Linked DNA regions of Caenorhabditis elegans. The protein of the gene in region 1 interacts with the protein of each later gene in a pairwise test. Each region holds a gene or a part of one and is shown on either strand. Other genes may lie near its edges. The genes, in order: syp-3, syp-4 and gras-1.

The links.
Region 2: the proteins of syp-3 (region 1) and syp-4 interact in a two-hybrid assay, tested with the Caenorhabditis elegans proteins (one study listed by BioGRID).
Region 3: the proteins of syp-3 (region 1) and gras-1 interact in a two-hybrid assay, tested with the Caenorhabditis elegans proteins (2 studies listed by BioGRID).

The regions. Positions count from the first base shown.
Region 1 is NC_003279.8:8,662,548-8,666,233, forward strand, and holds syp-3 (Synaptonemal complex protein 3), read right to left. Parts: upstream 1,574-3,686; 5' UTR 1,568-1,573; coding exon 1,465-1,567; intron 1,412-1,464; coding exon 1,364-1,411; intron 1,321-1,363; coding exon 1,067-1,320; intron 1,003-1,066; coding exon 936-1,002; intron 890-935; coding exon 687-889; 3' UTR 513-686; downstream 1-512. Other genes in the region: mrt-1 (5' exonuclease Apollo), read left to right, coding at 1-213, 314-512; F39H2.3 (Aminomethyltransferase folate-binding domain-containing protein), read left to right, coding at 2,429-2,532, 2,588-2,820, 2,863-3,020, 3,091-3,175, 3,310-3,404, 3,520-3,686. UniProt on the Caenorhabditis elegans protein: Plays a role in early meiotic events; during prophase I contributes to synaptonemal complex (SC) assembly, synapsis and chiasmata formation and stabilization of homologous chromosomes pairing.
Region 2 is NC_003279.8:6,845,639-6,850,520, reverse strand, and holds syp-4 (Synaptonemal complex protein 4), read right to left. Parts: upstream 3,011-4,882; 5' UTR 2,928-3,010; coding exon 2,862-2,927; intron 2,817-2,861; coding exon 2,720-2,816; intron 2,674-2,719; coding exon 2,505-2,673; intron 2,435-2,504; coding exon 2,151-2,434; intron 2,096-2,150; coding exon 1,890-2,095; intron 1,829-1,889; coding exon 1,249-1,828; intron 1,203-1,248; coding exon 1,059-1,202; intron 1,013-1,058; coding exon 741-1,012; 3' UTR 598-740; downstream 1-597. Other genes in the region: rpb-5 (DNA-directed RNA polymerases I, II, and III subunit RPABC1), read right to left, coding at 38-97; H27M09.5 (uncharacterized protein), read left to right, coding at 3,569-3,611, 3,655-4,637.
Region 3 is NC_003279.8:7,833,918-7,837,518, forward strand, and holds gras-1 (General receptor for phosphoinositides 1-associated scaffold protein 1 homolog), read left to right. Parts: upstream 1-1,890; 5' UTR 1,891-1,909; coding exon 1,910-2,017; intron 2,018-2,068; coding exon 2,069-2,285; intron 2,286-2,334; coding exon 2,335-2,574; intron 2,575-2,622; coding exon 2,623-2,795; 3' UTR 2,796-3,050; downstream 3,051-3,601. Other genes in the region: F30F8.1 (RING-type domain-containing protein), read right to left, coding at 1-28, 77-267, 316-630, 675-851, 897-1,148, 1,194-1,282, 1,328-1,424; F30F8.9 (Letm1 RBD domain-containing protein), read left to right, coding at 3,147-3,223, 3,311-3,432.

The DNA.
Region 1 (3,686 bases):
GCTCTATTATACGTTTGGAAATGGTGTCAACGACGACGAGGGAATCATTAGAATTCCATATTCCGACCACTCTTCAAGAAGTGAAATTCTTAAATTTCTCAGTCATTTTCACTTTAAAACGATTACGCCGTGTACTAAAAAGTATTCTATCATTGAGCTGGCATCTTTGGAAAATGCAGGAAAACGATCAGAAGAGGACCACACAGTAGAAAAGTAAGTTAGTCTCATTATTGAAGCACGACTTTCGAAAAAGGGAAAGTTATTCATATTCCCAAAATTGTGAATTTTAATTAATAGGAACATCTTACTTTAGGACTCAATCTACTATCCAAGGAACACCCATTTCACAACTTCAAGAAGACCCTCTACCGCCTGGAGTTGTATTTCGAACGAATACATGCGATTTTATGGATATGGACTTGGACAATTGGCCGGAAGGACCTCCGAAAACATTTGCGGAAGCTATCGCTCGGGCCAATAATTCAAGAAGGCCGAGAAATCCAGGACTATAATTTATTAAAACTTCACAACGGTTGATGCAATAAAATTAAATATTACATGATAAGCATTCGACATGATGAAAGTTTAGGATAACAGAACGATTTGAAAAAAGATTATTCAATTTTTAATATCATTACAGTTCGATTAACAGTTGCCCACATTTTGGCTGTTCTGATTCTTTTAATTCATGTAGAAAGTCGGGCTTTCAGAGCTTCTTCTTGTAGACGACATTTTTGGTACTCACTGCGCAGTTTGGCAACTTGATAATGGAAAATAATGCGAAGAGTGTTGCGCTCTTTGTAGGTCGCTCCACATGTTGGACGGAGAGAAGGAATCATTTCAGAAATAGTCGATGATTGATCAGCGATGGCGACTTCTAGTTGTTTCTCTGCAAGTTTAGTTGATAATACCATCAAAATTTTTTTTCAACTTACTTTCAATGTTTAATTCATCCAGATTGTTTTTGAGTGAATTGAATTGACCATTCATCGAATCATGTGACTGAAAATATAACATTCAGAAACCCACTCTTTTTAAAAATTATAAAGTTATCGAGCAGACTTACCAAGTTGTTCATCGATTTAATTAATGAATTGAAGTGATCTCCGAACTGTGTACCCGCACTGTCCACATCCTCGTTTTCCAAATAAGACATTAGTTCATCATAGGCTTTTTCTTGTCTCTCTTCCCAGTCTCTTTTCTGTTCAGACAGTTTATTGTCAGTTGCTGTCAAATCCTGAAGCTGTCTTTCTAGACTTTCTCGTTGAGCAGCACATTTAACCCTGTCTTCAGCAATTCGCTCGGTGAATGAAGTTTCGGCTGAAGAAAATTTTAAAGTTGAGCCTTTTTCAATCTGTCAAACCTTCAAGCTGTTGAGTTTCGATTTGCCTCATTCCTTTTTCTATGGCCTCTGAAAATGTATTTTTAAATTCATATTTCATTGATGTTTGCCTCAAAACATACCTCTTTCCCCAGCGAGCGAGTTGGTGAACTCAGTGAGCTGCCCGCAGAAAATTTTGAATCGGTCACCATTTACTGCCTGACTGACAAGCTTTTCGAAATTCATTTATCTCTGAAATTGGAGATATTGAAATGGCCAATTCACAATAGAAAATAAAAATATTTAAAATTAACAAAAAACCGTAGCGTGTTTGCGATCGTTGCGAGACCCACATGACTTAAGAACAACGTGAGCCTTTAAACCGTATGTTTTCATGAACAGTTTTATTTTTATTCACTCATTAAACACACAAAATATTCATTTTTTAAATATGTATTCGCTTCGACAATTTTTAATTCAAATTAATTTTATTAAATTTAAGCAACAACCTACACTCAAAATAAAAAAACTGCGTGGCCTGTACTGCAGAAAACCTCATTTTTAGGCCCCGCCTTTTTCTCGTCCACTCACGGACAAAAGGCAAAAATTTGGGGACCAACCAATATCAGGCCGCCGACATCCTACGGGTTCCGCGCGCCGCTAGGATTAACTCGCTGTGGGCGTGGCGAGCTGTCTCCGCCCGCTGCGAGTTAAACATAGCGGCGCGCGGAACCCGTAGGATGTCGGCGGCATGATATTGGTTGGTCCCCAAATTTTTGCCTCCACTCCGTGAGTGGACGAGAAAAAGGCGGGGCCTAAATATGAGGTTTTCTGCAGTACACGCCACGCAGTTTTTTTATTTTGAGTGTAGTTTGTCCCAAGCTTAGGCAAATTATAATTATTCCCAGCTTTCAATGCGACGTACTTGGTGCTTCATCCTAAATAGTTTGCTGCTAATCCAAGCGCTTGTTTTCTTTTTCAAATTTCCTCGCTCTACTTGCGGCCGCGGACGAAATTATTCGGCACGGCCATATGATCATCCCCGTTGCGAAATTTACTCTAACATATTTTAATATGTTTTCTTGTGATTATCAAACTTTTTTACAGATGTCAACACAAAGATTAATTAAATTGCCTCATAGAGTTCTTTTGAAACTTCATGGCTCTGACACAAACGCGTTTCTTCAAGGTTTAATTACAAATGATGTGACGTATGTTTTTATACTCTAAAAATTACAGCGAAAATGATTACATCTTATTTTGCAGAAAACTTCAAACTCAAAATGGACTTGCTGCTTTTTTGCTCAACACAAAAGGGAGAATTGTTGAAGATGTTCTTCTATGGAGACGAGGAACTGATGATTTGTTCTTGGAATGTTCTAAAGAAAATAAAACTATTTTAACAAAAGAAATCTTGAAATATCGATTGAGGAAACAAGTTGAAATCACCGAATCTTCCGATCAAATATTTTTCACAGAAGATGTATCGGACAAACAAGGTAGAAAATGAACGTCAAAACTTTAATAACATTTTATTTTAGCTCACCGCGATCCTCGATTTTCTGGTTTTGGAGCTCGCGTTTTCGGTAATCCGTCTTCATCGGAAGTTAGCGAAAATCGAGAAAAATATGAAAATTTGCGACGATCTGCTGGAATTGCAGAAGGATCTCAAGAATTGGCGGAGTTGCTTCCTTTTCAGGTAAAAATACAACAGAAGCAATTTAAATGAAATATTTCTAAAAGTTCATTTTCAAATATTATTTTTTAAGGCAAACGGTGATCTGCTCAATATGGTTTCACTTGATAAAGGATGTTATGTTGGACAGGAATTAACTGCAAGAACTGCTCATACAGGTTACTTCAACTAAATTTAGATATTTGGAGACGTGAAATCTCACTTTCCTTTTTATTTAGTAACTTGTCAATTAAATTTTTGTAAAACCCACAAAACTAGTTCAATTTGATTTTGAAAAATTAAATTTTGACAGGTGTTATCCGTCGACGAATCTTACCATTTGAATGTGAAGGTCAAGTCAAAATTGGAGCAGAAGTTCTGGACGAGAAGAAAAATAAAGTCGGAAAGGTGTGTTTAAAAGTTATAGTGATAAAAAATTCATCTAAACGTTGGAATTATCTGGAGTCAATTCACTGTCAAAAATTGAAAAACAATAGTTTCTGTTCAATTAAAAAATCTTCAGATTATCTCTTCTGACACAACTCGTTGCCTGGGAATTCTTCAACTTTCTTCATTCAAATCTCAAAAATTGACAGCTGATGGAGTTTCGTTAACCGCAAAGCAACCTGAATGGATGCCTGATAAGATTTTAGCGAATAATAAAACTAGAACTAGCTTGACGGATTCTTA
Region 2 (4,882 bases), 1.8 Mb from region 1:
GAACATATTATCATGGCAAATACCAAATTTTGTTTACCTGAAGAACTGTTTTACGGATTCTCCACAATCTATAGGTCTCAAGCTCGTCGTCAGCCATTATTACTGTTAGTCTCTGCAATAAACTACTTTTAAAAAGTTTTCCGCCGACATTAAAGGTTGAAAAATAAAGAACAATTCGTCTTAGTCTCATCACAATTTTAAGTGTAACTTTGAACATATAACAACCTCTTTTAATTAATAATAAACATTGAGGTTAACAGGAAAAACATAAACTATGGTATACCAACAATTTAAATTGAATAATCAGAAGGGAGATTGCTGCAATGTCTCATATTCAAATTGGTGGGAAAGAATTGAAGGAAAAAAACATGAAAATCACTAAATTTGACAGGACAATTTTCGTTTTTCGAATAAAATTCCAATGGCTAAACAAAGCTCGTTAGCGTTATACCGGAGCATCGTTCATTGCGTCGAATGCTGCTGATTTTACGAGCAAAAATTTTGCGAACATAAGCGAACTTGAGTTTGTTTCAGAATAAATATTATTTAAATAGCTATACATTTAAAGCATTAAAGTGAAAAAGAATAAAACGCAATGAGATGATCAATACTTTATATTATGTATATTTTTGCTGTTCAAAAAGAAAAAAAAGAGGCAATTTCTTGGTCCAATAAAATCTAAAATTTCTGACATTAAACGATACAAATGATACAAGAGCTGAATAATACATGATAATTTTCTAAAAGTTAAAGAACGAGGTGCTGTTTCCGCCCGCTCCAGAAGTTGCTCCGCCTTCACCGTCACCGTCAAAGTTAAAGTTGAACGATCCATCTCCACCTCCACCAGCTGCGTTACCATTTGATGCAAATCCGAACGGATCGGATTGAGTGTTTCCCGAACCCTTTCCTTCATCCTCTCCGTCATAGTTAAGGAAATCCAGATCTCCAGTAGAACCACCATTGTTCGAACCATCATCTCCTGCTCCAATTCCGTCAAAATTAAAGTCGAAGTCTATAAAAATGGAGTTTTTTTTAATTTCACGTGTTTCATAACTTACTGCCTTCACCGCCACCTTCTCCCGCTGATGTACCCTTGCTATTCCCAAAAAAGTTAAAAGAGAAGTTATTGCTTTTGTTGGAACCGTTTTCGCTCATCACTTCTTCTTCGTCTTCTACATCTAGTTGTGCTCCCACTTGTTGATCTGCGAAATGAATAACTCAATGTTTATTGCCAAGTAAAACACTTACCATCAACAAACTGAACATCATTGTCTGCCTGCTTCTCAACGATCTCTGGTTCTTGTTCCTGGGAGAGTGCAGCCTGCTCCGTGGCTAGAATGTCCTTGAATACAGATGGTTGCTCAATTTCTTCTTGCTCACCGACTTCCATGGGACTTTCCTCGGGTACTTCCTGATCTACTTCCATTACATCCATCGATTGATCGGCATGATTTTCATGATTGCTAAGTTCTTCTTCTTCTTCTTCGGGCTCATCTAGGATTGATTCCGGTTGGGGGCTTGGAACTGCTGAAGTGTCTAACTCTTCTGCATCCCGTTGAACGACGCTGTCTTGACGAGTAGGCTGAATGGTAATTTGTGGTACCACCTCCCTTATTTCAGTGACATTTGGTGGTTCAATATGAACGCTTTCTTCAGCTGAATGTTCGATTACAGGTTCTTCGCCAACTTCCATCGGATGCTGTGTCGGAATTGGCTCTTTGGAGAAGGAAGATTTCGCGGTTTCGCTTATCTGTGGAGTGATCGAAACTTCCGAACTTTTCGAAGTTAACTGTTGTACGGCCTTTTCTGGCTTATTTGTTTTGTCCATCTGTAAATATTATTTCAGTTTGAAAAGGCAATTAGGCTTTATAAAATTTAGTTTTACATACCGACGCGAGAATAAAAGAACGATCAAACTGCATTGTTTCATCCAGACTGAGACTTCCACAAATTCGTCGATTCTCTTCCTCGTCCTTCAATGTTTCCAAACTTCTTTTCGATTTGTCTAACTTCGGCATCAAGGATTGATGGAGTTTATAGTGTTTCGCACACTCAATTACCGTCTTTTCGAACGATTTCTTTGATTCGGCTTTCACTGAAAATTTGATATATTACAAAAAATTAAGTGTATTCGATGCTTCATAACTTACATGTAGCTTTCTTGGTACGGATATCATCGGCAAGACACTTCTTCTGATCTCTGAGCCCCTCCACTACTTCTTCTAGAATTCTTTTCTCCTCTTCCATTGCACGAAGCTTATGTACGTCGGATGAATTTTCTAGATTTTTCAGAATTGAGGCACTTTTCACGATGAGCTCCTCAGTGGCCCTGGTTGTGTCCACAAGCCGCTGTTCGTTGATTTCCTGGACTCGTCGAGCCTCGGTGTTCGTCTCTTGCACGGATTTTCGTAGGTCGTCACATTCGTAATATTTCCTTTAAAAAATTGAATGGTTTACTCGAGTCAAAATAGACATTGTGTTACTTTTAATGTGAACAAACTTACTGCTGAACTGTCAGCTTCTTTTCTTGAACCTGCCGAGATAGCTCAGCAATGTGTAGACGATCTTCCATTACTGTCAGCGATGTTTGATAAGCTGATTTCAGCTTCTCCTGGAGTTTCCCACTTTTTGCCAACTCGGCGCGTCTCTCATCTAATGCATAGATTCCTTTGGCTAAATAATAAAATAGTGGAAAACGATGAACCATCGGGAATCTTACCTTCGGATACCATTTTCGTCAGCAACTTTGCCAACATTTTTCTTCCTTCCGTGTTGATCATGTTTCGCTCCACAAGTTGATTTGATTGGCGAAGAAACTGAAAGAAGAGGATTACAACTGATTGTCTGTAGATTAAAAATACCTCATGGCATCGCAGAACTTTTGGATTTTTCTCATTTGGACGTACTTGTAGCGTCGGAAACGACATTATTTCGCCTTGAAATAAAAAATTTTGATGAAAAATGAGGTTACCGTACCGAACAAAGAAACAGAAAAGTTCAGTTTTCTCCTAAAAGCAACAAACTTTTGAATGGAGATTTTTTTCGTGCCTGCACATCAAAGGTTACTGTACCTGCAATTGCTCGTAAACTTAAATGTAAAATACGCAAATTGCCATCACGTCAAAATCCGCCTCATATACACTAAACACAGTGAGTAGCGGAGACCGCAAAATGTCGGGACACCCTATCGCACTACTCCCTCCACCCGCAGGCTCATAAACTTACCTGGCTGGGGGTTATTTCGCGATCACAAAGGCGGAATCCCCATGGTTAGGCCTACCCATTGCACTTTTGGTGCGGGCTGACCTGTGTGGCAGTCTCGAGTTGAGATTCGCCAACAGCTTAATTTTTGCGTATCGGGGCTGCGTGCGCGCGGCCCTGAAAAGTGGGTCTATATGTAACACCTAGCCGATGTTCTTTTACGATATTTGGGAGATTTGAAAGTTCACTGAAGGATGGAAAAGACGCTAATATAAATTTATCAAAATTAAACGTCTCGAACTGGATGTGTCGTTTGCATAGCCTTTTCATTTGATCAAAACATCTTTATTTCTATTTTGTTCACAAAATGAGTTCATCGCCAGAACAAATGGCCGAGAATGTGAATTACCGTAGGTTTACTCATTGATTCAGCTTTTGAAGCAACTTTTACAGTATGTCTTATGGTGACTGCCACTTTAACTAGTGCAACGATGGTGCTTGGATGTACTACCGGGCATCGTGAGATGTTCCGACGAAAAGGTTCAAAGTCAAAGAAATCAATGAAATCGAAGAAATCTAAAAAATCTAAGAGAGAAAAGAAGGGTGATAATGAAGATGAAAAGGAAAATTATAAGGAAGATGGAAATGATCACAATAATGGATCTGACAGGAAAGAAGGTTCTAAAAAGAAAAAATCAAGACAGAAGAGTATGAAAAGCTCACGGAGCAAACGGAAGAAGAGACACAGTTCTGGAAGTAAACGTGGCAGTTCTAGGGACAAAAGAGATAGCTCTCGGAGCAAGAAAAATAATGTATCGGCTCATAAAATGGAGAAATCTCCAAGTAGACGTGATTTTGGAAGAGGAGGTGATAGAGATAGAGATAGAGATGGAGAATCCAGAAGAAGTAGTTATAGGGATGAAAAGAGAAGACGTGAAAATTCACATAAGTCAGCCAGATCAATGCCTGTAGAAAAAAGCAACAGCTACCGAAATTACAAGAAATACGATGACAAGGTGGAGGATCCACCACATGAGAAACGAAATTCTGATGACGTTCGTTCAGTTTATGTGGATACTGGAAAATCAACATATTCCACTGCTGTAAAGCCATCAAATGATAATCCAAAATCATATTATTCTCTTCCACCAACATCTCCTTCAAAGGAAAAACCCACAAAAAAGATTTCACGAAATTATTTGGCTGATCCATTGTCTCCGGGGGATAAGAAATCAGCAAAAATCTCAACGAAAAAGTTGATTTCTACAATAAAACCACCAAAAACGCTTTCTAAAAAATCAGCAAAATCTACGAGAAATCCATTGAAATCGCCTTCCAAAAGGTCTAATAGTGTGAGACCAGAAAAGAAAAATAAAATCATTTCGAAGAAGGCGTCCAAGAAAAATGTTGAATCGAGAAAATCAAAGAGAAAGTGAACATGTGGTTAGTTTTTCTTTTATTGTATTTTGGAAAAAGAGTTATATTTAATATCGTAAGTAGTCTCGTGAAATCACTTTAAGGACACAGGATATATGATTTTTTAAAGTGGGTCCCACCACGATCTCAGTCTCAGCCAAATTTCACGGATTCACGAAATCACGATTGCTAGAAATGGTTATATCTCGTAATTTTGTGAAAAAGAAGTACCTTCGTCTCTAGGTGTTTGGGGGAATTTTTGATT
Region 3 (3,601 bases), 830 kb from region 1:
GAACTTGGTGCGTACATTGCTCTCAAAGCTAAAAAATCGTGTTCTATTAAAATAATAATTCATTAGGACAACTCACTAAGCGTCTGTAACATTTTTCAGCTCTGTGTTATCCATATTGATAAGAATATCTGTCGCCAAATTGCAGTACTCTGTTTGGTTCATTTGTTGAAATGCTTGGACGGTAGACGAGGAAGATGTACCACCTTGTTGACCAGTTTCTGATGATTCCCATAGAGTACCCATTGAATTCGGAATGACACGAGAATTCTAAAAAATGAATTTAATTTAAATCCCATTTTCTTAATTTTTTTAAACCATTTGCTGTTGATCAAACTGATTTGATGTTCCTTGATTCATACTAAGTTCATTCAACTCTCGCCGGAGAAGTTCTTCCCTCTCTTGGGAACGTAGACGAGCAGTTAATTCAGTGAACATGTTAGGAAAAACCGTTTGACCCGGAAGATATGGAAGATCAATGTTTTCAATACTCTTTCCGCTGGCAATGAATGGTATTGTTTTATTTGGATCGATGACGTCATTGTTTTGAGAAATGTTAATAGCAGCATCATTTGACTCAGAAAGCCATGTACTTTGTTCAATTTGTTCTGCTGGAATCAATACACTTGGACGCTGCAACTAAAAAATTTTGAGAGAACTGCAAAGCTCTAATTTACCGGGAACTGATGACGCTGGACCATTTCAAAAACCCCATCGAGATCAGCGTTCAACTCGGAAGACGGAACTTCACCCTGATTGTTGGCTCCATGATGAATATTTAAGTTGTTCACTTCTCTTATAATTTCAGCTGGAGCTTCATCCACTTTAGGCTGAACTGAACCGAGTTTGCGTGTCTGTCAATAAAATTCATTAAACGGGAATTAAAAGTTAAAACCAACCAGGACAGGAATTGATTGAGATGAAAGACGACGTTGTGATGAAGCTGCCAAAGTGGAACTGGAAGGAACAAGCGCAGTATCTAAGGCTGGGACAGATTCGGAATTCGACAATTCTTGGATTGGGAGAAGCCTTTGTGTGAACGAGTTTCTCACTCCAGCAACTTGACTACTAGTGGGCACCTCTGACGATGTAAATGATTGAATTTCCTGTCGAAGAGATTGAGGTGGTACTTCACTTGAGCGAACCATGTTCTGGAAACATATTTTATCAATCAGAATATGAAAACAAAGTAAAACCGTTTGCGCGATTTGCTGAGGAACAGAAGTACTGGTTGGTAGAACTGCTTCACCAGAGAGTACAGGTGGAGGAAGCGGCTGGGATAAATCTGAAAATCGACTTGAAACTTAGGTCATTAAAAGTTTCCACAAACCTCTCTGATTACCAGCGAGATATCGCTGAGGATTCATACAGAAATTCCTCGTAAACTCATTTACTTGTGCTATATATTCAGCATAAGAATCATTCATCGCGAATGATCCTTATTTTGACAAAAATCAAGGGAATTTTCACAAAAGTAGGAAAAGTATTTAGGAACGAGTTTTCGAAAGCTGAAATTTCGAAAGCGTGTCATGTGTTTGCGTGTTTCAGTAAATACCGTAACCTTCATATATTTCAACAACAAATAAGAAAAGGTGCGCACGCGCTAGTCATTTGTTTGGTCTTTTAGTCGTTTATTTTTTTGCATGATGATTGTGTTTTAGTCACTTTTTACTTAAGTTTAATAATTTTATATGCTTTCTTCTAAAGTTATTACCGAATTTCCCATTATAAACTTTGCGCGTCGAATCTGGCGCTTGCGTACATGTTTCTCGTCTCTAGCTTTTCCTTTCATCTTCTCACCAATTTTACAACTTATCGACTTTGTTTCGAGTCTTGTGTTGTTTAAACATTTAAAAAACTCTAAAAACATGTTTTTTTGTTTAATATATGTTATTTCAGAGTTTCTGCTTTTATGGATCACATCGACGCTCATAGTGCGGTTTCCACGAGTTCGAGCTCTTCAAAATATGATACGCCGGATGACAATATTTCTGAACAGCGACTATTGTGTGACGCAAAAGTAATTATTTGATTCTCCATTGAAGAACAACCATAATATTCGTTACTACAGGAAGAATATCCACTGAATGATTATCTTTTCGATGGGATCAATCAAGAATCCGCACAACGGAGCCTTCTTCTATGTCGTCAAACATTTGAAACTTCCTTTGGCTTTGCTCTCCAATCATATGTATTCAAAAGAACATCTTCAAACAGTTACGAAAGAATAACTTATGTGGATTACGTGTCGGCTGATAGCCCAGCTGATCGCTGCGGGATAACACGAGGTATTCAATCATTTAATTCAGCTTTTCCTGCCAACTACTGCAATTTTAGGCGACATGGTCATTGCTGTCAATGAAAAAAGCGTCGTCACTGCCTCCCATGCAGAAATCGTCGAATCAATTGCTCAGTGTCTTCAAGTCAGTCTCGTTCTGGTCTTCAAAGATGTAGCAAGAATCGTGGAATTGAGCATGCGGTCGATTCAGTTACGATTCATGCTCGATGCAAAAATTAGAGAATTGAGGATGCTCGAAAAGACGGAAGAAGATTTGCAAGCATTATATGACGATGAACGTAAGTCGAGTTTACGGTTATTATTTTGATTATTTGTAACAATTTTAGATGGCAATGAGGAGGAAGACGAATCACTTGAAAGCACGCTTTACGAACTTGATGAGGAGCTAAAAAATGTACAAAATCCACAAGAAAAGGAAGCAAACGGCACTGATTATCGCCATCTCATTCGCATCAACAGTAGCACGTCTGTTGGAACTCCCCAAGTCACGCGTCTCTAGTAAAATCAATGTCTTTCATATTTTCACGTTTATCTCTGAACACTCATGGGTAAACATGTATACTCTAATTATATATTTCGATCCCTGGTACATAGTTGTACATATATGTATTTTAACTTCCTGTCTCCGCCCAAAATTTGCCATTTTATTCCCATTCCAGTCATTTTGATTCCCACAAACCTGTGATCATGGTTATGATTCTAGCCTGCCTGTTATACTATTAGTTTCAGGAAATAACATGAAGTTTTATCTACTATTCCTGACACAATTATTTCAATTATCCATGAGGTTCTGTGCCTTTTCTACTTTTTCGTTTGTTTTTCCTTGACAAAACTACTTTTTTTCAAACAGATGCACTCATTGTCAAGGATTCTTCTTCATCGCAGTAACAGTGTGCTCAATTCGCCTACTTTTCTTGTTGCTGTTAGGTAGACCTTTTCATCATTAAAACCTGTTTTATTCTGAGTATCCGTTAAATTCAATATTATCCCTCTAAAAAATGTGTTCTACTTCAGACAAACATCAGCCGGTCCACCTCCAGCCACTCCAGCTAAAGAAGGATCCTTGACCTACAAGTATGAACAATTTATTGGAAAATGGCCTAAAGTGTTGGCACTTCACAGGACTGTTCTTGAAGGTGAGGGAGTTCTCCGATTAACTTACTTACTTTTGAAATTCAAAAATGACATTTTCTGATCTTTTTTATTTTTATTCAGAGATCTTGACATGCTCTCTTAAAGTCGCACGGATTTATTCAGATGGGTCTCGGCGCAAAGTTTATGGCAACTTAAACTTCGCCCCGTGAC